Bombyx mori: one gene and its partner. The protein of the gene in region 2 interacts with the protein of the main gene of each other region in a pairwise test. Links are inferred from orthologs where the notes say so. Each region holds a gene or a part of one and is shown on either strand. Other genes may lie near its edges. The genes, in order: glycogen synthase kinase-3 beta and axin.

What was found.
Region 1: the proteins of axin (region 2) and glycogen synthase kinase-3 beta interact in a two-hybrid assay, tested with the Drosophila melanogaster proteins (2 studies listed by BioGRID, with this or other methods). The link is inferred for Bombyx mori from reciprocal best matches to the Drosophila melanogaster genes Axn and sgg.

Annotation. Positions count from the first base shown.
Region 1 is NC_085124.1:8,496,576-8,500,308, forward strand, and holds part of glycogen synthase kinase-3 beta, read right to left. Parts: coding exon 3,659-3,733; intron 2,902-3,658; coding exon 2,804-2,901; intron 2,693-2,803; coding exon 2,597-2,692; intron 242-2,596; coding exon 1-241.
Region 2 is NC_085123.1:13,487,561-13,491,160, reverse strand, and holds the start of axin, read right to left. Parts: upstream 2,190-3,600; 5' UTR 1,923-2,189; intron 1-1,922.

The DNA of each region.
Region 1 (3,733 bases), on a different chromosome or scaffold from region 2:
TCAGGAACTCGTTGAGCGAGGGCTGGATGCCGAGCTCGTACTCGGTGAAGTTGAAGAGCGGCGGCAGCGGGCGGCCGTTGGGCAGGCGGGCGGTGGGCTCGCGCAGCTCGTCGAAGAAGCTGTGCACGCAGGCCTGCAGCGGCGACAGGCGCGCGCCCGGCGTGTACTCCAGCAGCCGCGACACCAGCGAGATGGCGTCCGGGGGCGTGCACGCGCGGAACACCTGGCGGTTCACGGGCATCTTTCGTATTTTATGATATATTTGTACCAAAAAGTATACAGGGTATTTAATCGGGAGAGTCGATTTGTTAGCGGTGTGGTCACTTGACTCACACCGTCACAAATAGATTTCTGAAGATAGGTACCAAAATGTATACAGGCTATTTAATTAGGAGAGTCGATTTGTTAGCGGTGTGGTCACCTCGACTCACACCGTCACAAATAGATGTTAATATGGACTCAATAGATTTCTGAAGGTATGTTTTGTCTGAACATCTTCTTCCTTTTCTCTTATTGAGAACCGAGAGAGAAGAATCAAATCGAAGCTTCTTGCTAATCTAACTGGTATATTAATTCATCGATTCAAGGGTATATCTGGATGTTTTTTATGTATCGTTGAGATGTGAGTACAATTAACACTTCGACTGTGGTGAGCTCGATGGGTTCGATTAGTGACGATATAATTTAACAAACTGTATCTTTCAAAATTAATTAGTTAATGCGATTATAATGCGTGGATGATGAAGTTATTTATTTTTGTTATTTTGTGCTGAACCACGTGTCAAGTTTGCTCTTTTGATAAAACATGAAAATAACATTACCGTAGAGGTTTGTAATGCGTCGTCCCACATTCCAAAATTTTTATACTTGAACAAACTAAACACGTGTGCGACACAATGACGAATGCACACTGAACACCAACAAACAATCATTTTGAGAAATTGTCAGAATCAACCGAATTAGTTGTATGCGACTTTCAAGTCAAAGGCGATTTGGTATTCGTCTTTGGATGCGCTAAATGCCTTCATATATTGTCTTGCTTTACAATACTTTCAGCTTGCAAGCTTATTTAAAGTTTAACGTGATGTAAATGAAGGCATCTAGTTGAACCAAATAGCGGATTCTTACTCGGATGCGCTGGTGGTCAGTGGCAGTCTTGGGCATGGACATACGCTCCAGCATACACTGCAACGATGCGCGTCTGTTTAATCGACTGCCCATAGCAGCACCGCTTGCATATACCCCAATAAAGTCTAAGCTCACTCGAGCAAGATGAGAGACGAGGGGACAGAGACATTCCTAGCACTTATATTCCGTACACTTGTAACTCAGAATTCGTCCAGAGACGTAAAACTGGACTCAGGGCGAATTTACGTTACGAAATTAGTGGCATGAAATTAATTTCGTGACATTAGTTTTACCAACAGTTTCACGTGTAGCTTAACATTTTCGTAATGCATGCATGCATTTCGTAATAAATGCCTTATTGTTAACCGTTCTCAAATTTACCAATGTCTTTTTTTCTTGATTGTCTTTTTTTAAGTTTATATATAAGCATTTCTTTAGCTACATTTAATATAGCAAAATATAGCTATGATGCTGATGGCGCCATTGCGAGGTAACCATTACTGCGATACTGCGGATTTCGCGACACAATTTTTTTTACGAAATTACTTTCGCATATATTATATCGAAACTACTTTCGTGAAACTGAGTTCAACATCCATGACACTAATTTCGTAATGTAAATTCCGCATCAGAACTACAAGTTCGCGGTAGAAGGATCGTATGTTCGAGAAAAAAATCGGATACATAGCTCTAACCACCTAACTGGACACTAACAGTTTCCTCATCATCTATGTGTAGTGGTAGAATCTTCGCCTTAACTTCCTAATTAACTCTCCTCTACTTCTTAAGTGTGTTTCAAGGATATAATAACAGTTTTCTAGTACGGTAATAATTCGTCATGTCTCCTTCATGTAACATTCGCGTTGTAATGTCTACGTGCTGAAAATATTCTGCTTGTAATTTTTTAAGGCCACAGAATACAGCGAGATACGTCCTCGACGCATAGAAAATGCCGTGCGATTATCAGATATGGCTGTCGCATACGTTCCCTAATGAAAACACGAAGTTTCAATGAAAAGTTTTCTTTAAATCCGTAGTAATGTATCGTGTATGTAATATACAATAACGATAGCCTAACAATTATGATTATGATAACAAAATTCATGATATAACGGATATTTATGAAGGCGACACTAAGGACTAGTCAATGTATGTGCTTATCATAAATGTATCCAGGATGAAATTCATGTTTTATGTATGGATTTTCAAAGAAGAACAAATTACGATTTCATAAAAACTGACTCTTTTCATAACAAAGGTCTTAGATAATTTAACAAAATTCAAAAAAGGTATCTCTATATTTGATAGATTTTTAAATTTATCTCTTAACGGTTTACTCTGTTGTCTATGGACAGATTTTGAAAATATTTTTGTTTTAGTTTGATACTCTCGAAGTGATCCCACTGTTAAGTTTATTGATGTATTTACCTTAATAATATTCTAATAATTATTTTGAGTATGTTATTACCTTCGCCCAAGGGTGACTCTTGATTTGCGGAAACTTAAATTCTGTATAATTTGGATTCATCTCTCGGATTTGTTCTCTTGTCGGTGTCCCTAAAACCTGTTAAAAAAGAATTTAATTTATTATCAATTAAAACAATAAAAAATATACTAATACAGGAATCGAGCTTAACAATTTGGATATTATGACTGTGGACTGCACTTGTATTACCTTGATAATTTCAACCAATTGGTCAACCCCGGAATCTCCTGGGAATATCGGTTGACCCAACAACAGCTCAGCGACAACGCATCCCGCGCTCCACACGTCTAGGAAACGGAAACACATAATTATAAACATTAAAACCATTGCAATATAGCAATGCGAATATAAATATAATTAATATTCTTTGTGAGGTTTTGCATTACAGTCAGGCATTAACAACAAAATTTCCAAAACGGCGTGTATAAGATCTGTTCCAACTGAAATATTAACTTTTTATTTGGACAAATGAACAGATTAGTTTTATCCGATTACCAATCCATCGCCATCACAAACATGAATGCTCCCACCCGTGTTAAGATACGAGGTAGAGATCTCTTTTTTATTTTATTTTTTTCTTAGATGGGTGGACGAGCTCACAGCCTACCTGGTTTTATGTAGTTACTGGAGCCCATAGACATCCACAACGTAAATGCGCCACCCACTTTGAGATACAAGTTCTAAGGTCTCAAGTATAGTTACAACAGCTGCCCCACCCTTCAAACTGAAACGCATTACTGCTTCACAGCAGAAATAGGCAGGGTGGTGGTACCTACCCGTGCGGACTCACAAGAGGTCCTACCACCCGTAATTACGCAAATTATAATTTTGCAGGTTTGATTTTTATTACACGGTGTTATTCCTTCACCGTGGAAGTCAATCGTGAACATTTGTTGAGTACACTATTTCATTAGAAAAATTGGTAGCCGCCTGAGATTCGAACACCGGTGCATCGTTCAACACGTATGCACCGGACGTCTTATCTTTTAGGCCACGACGACTTCGTAGGTCCAATTAGTTATATAATAGATATAAGAAACGTACCAATTTTCGTGGTGTAGTCGGTGGCGCCAAAGATGAGCTCCGGAGCGCGGTAATAACGCGAACATATGTAGGAAA
Region 2 (3,600 bases):
TTGCATTTTTTGAGATTTTTACACTATAAATTTATTTCACTAGTCTGCTTTAAACGACTTAACTTAATAAATGAAAATCATACAAGGCCTATGCACATTTTATATTAATTATTTTTTTCATAGAATCTTGTAGACAGTTAAGATTATGACTTAGAAATCACAACATCTAAAATAATCTAATTTCGATACAAAATTATAAATGTAGAAATATTAGTCCAAATATTAATTATAAGAGAGCTTCCTGTGTCCGTGTACAAAAACAGCGTAGAATCGATACATTTTTAGTCCATGAAACTTCAAAAAGGCGGTTACGTCGTTTAGCGCCGCGACGCCGGTATTAGCGCACTGTCGCATCTTCAGAGGGCGGCGAGATCAAAGGATAGGTACACAGTAACCGCTCTCATTGATGTCGCTCACAAAGGGAATTGATTGTTGCAAACCTCGTTTTTTTACAAAAAGAAGAGAGGGATTGATGACACATCTGCTTTTTTTTTTTCTTTTTTGACATTGTATCATGTATTATGTACTGTATTAATAATATATTTGCGTTTTCTTATTTGTAATTTTAATGTTGGTGACGGCATGTTATGAAATTCTATACACAGTTTACAAGATTGCAAAGGTAATAAGTTTCGTGTTAATTATTTCCTCAAATTAGATTTTATTTTCATATAAATTAAGTGACGATATAATATATTCTGATTGTCTAAGATATTTTATTTACCCAATTTCATTTTGAATAAATTATTATGATTCCAGCTTTTTAATGCTGAGACACTGCATATACAATTTTCTTAATATCTTTTTACTATGAAATATTAATGATGAGACAATCCACCGGCTTAGGCCCCAGCTGGAGTTCCTACTAAAAAAAACATTTTTAAGCAAGTTTGCATTATTCTAAAAAAGGTTTTTATTTGTTTTTTTTTTCATAAACTTGTATACGTTTATATCATTACATTATGTCATCTCATCATCATATTTTTATACATAATTATTCCATCTATCATCGGTTATGAAGTCACTGGGAGCAATATGTCAATAATTATACTTCACTTAGGTTTGTACACATATCAGACTTTTCTTCGGGGAATGTTAAAAATGAATAAAATAATGGTGAATGCCTATTGTTTTTCAAGCCATACAAAAAAGTACTGGCTGTAGAAATAGTTTTAACACATGTTCATAAGAATATTCTAGTTTAAATTACTGGCTACTACTACTAGACCACATACTAATTAACTAAAAATGTTTTTCGTGACAATTCAGGTATCTTTAAGTAATTGAAAATTTATTCCATAGCTTTACAGTAAAAGTCATATATATAATTTTTTGCTTCATTATATAATTATTTTGAGAATGAAAAACCAGTGGTGATTTATTTATATATTTTGAATTTTATTGCTATCTATCAGGCATATTATCAATTGTAGCATTAATTACCTACTTACAAATTAGTGTAAACAAATAAACTTTCGATTTATAGATTCTCTCAATATCACTCAACAGTTATCTCTGTAAAAGTAATTGAAAGAACTTCGTAATTCATGATTTAATTTTTAATTTTACCGATCCGTACCTACTCAAAACAATATTAGGTCACTAGGTGAGTAGGTGACTCAAAAGTTTTAAATAGTTCACAAACTTTTTGAAAGTACAAAAAAGGTGAAGTTTTTTTTTAAATATATATTGAATATCTAGCCCGTAACATAACTGGTTGTATAAACGTTCAACACAGCGGTAGACGACACAAACCTAACCTTAACGCAAATTATTTATAACTATTACCTGCTCATTGTTGTTAATGTAACGTTTTTATTATTTCGGGCTAATTACGGGGTTTAAGATAACTAAAATGTACACCAGCATCGTGAGTGTTAATTTTAGAAGGCGTATTCTTGAAATAAGCATCAATTTCTTACCTCGTTGACACCTGAATTCCGAAGTATTCCGAGAGTTCGTTACAACTTCACACACAAAACTTTTAATTTTGAAATAATAGTTCAAGCACTTAATAACAAAACGACACCGAGAACAGCTTTATTGTAAGTCTTTCAACTTATAAACTGACAAAAAACAACACTTTCGTATAGAAAACAGAAACTTATTCACGTTCTTGACGTCGCCTTCGCCATGGTGTTGATGCACAATAGCGTAACCTAGCGGGACATTGGTCAACTAATGAACGCTTTGATGTGTCATTCCGTCACACGCATAATAACATAATTATCAACATACCTACCAATATTGTGAAATAAAAAATATTTTGGATTTTTGTCAATTATATTATATTTAATGTATTTGTATATCGGTAGAGTATACTATAATATACTAATACTAATAAGCTTATTTAAAAAAAAAACACTAAATCAAAGACGCCCTCTTGCGCCCTGAACTGCTAAACAAAAATTTGGCGGGAACGCGAAAAGCGAAGTTCTGTAAGTCAAAAATCATTGTGTAAGTCGTTTTATTTTTTTCAAACTGATTTAGAATTTCTCCAAGTTTAATAACGTTGGTTTATTAACTATTTAGCATCTGCGAAATCGCACCAATACGAGAAAATGAAACAAAGCTTCTGGAGGTAGCTCCTCGGGTTCTTCCAAAAGTTCCACTGAACCATTATGTAACACTATCCCAATTGATTAGACTCATTCCGTCTCAAATCGTTTTTCATGTAATACAACCATATTTGGATATAACATCACCTTGCAAACGACATCGGATTTATTCAGTATGATTCGATCTTTCCAGACTTACATTTCGGACAATTAATTATTTCACCAGTGTCATTCCCCTTTTATTTGAATACTCCTAAAGTGAGTTTTAATTGAAATACAGTTTAATTATGTACTATTATTATTTAGACAATCGAAAAACACAATTTGCGACATACCAAGGCGAACTTACTTTTTATTAATATCAAGATAAATTTTAAAGGAATAGACAGTAAAACTCGATTTAAAATTAAAGATTTATTCATATTAAATTTATTTCCACATATGCAGGTACAAAAACACGAAATCAAACACGCTAATCTAAAAACTACACAAAAATGACTAAAACAAATGACTTCATACTTATAACGCTATTTAAATCAACTAAAAGTTTACAAACAAATTGTAGAGAAATTGTGAGGTATTTCTTATTTATAAGGAACTTATACATAGCGAAGCAATAATATTGTAATGTTTTATAAATTAATAAAACCCTTATAAATTACGATTTTGACTCTGTAGTATTTTTAACTACATCAACACTTTTATTACAAACTGTGAATCGACTTTGTAAAAATATTCAAGTTTCAGAGGAAATATGTCAGATGCCTCTATGTTTGAATTGAATGTTTGAATTATGCACGAAAAATTGAAAATGCGAATCATCTTATAATTTAAAATTTGGATAATTAGAAAATTGTGAACACGGTTTTCTACGGCGAACAAATTTTTGAGTATCCAAAAGTGTAAAACCATAAAAAAAAAAATCCGAAATATATTGTGCCAAATTTATTGATATATGAACTTATGAATTGATAACTAAGAGAAACTTGAAAAAAAGCGTGAATTAATTAACTCAAAATTATAAAATATTTAGTCAACAATC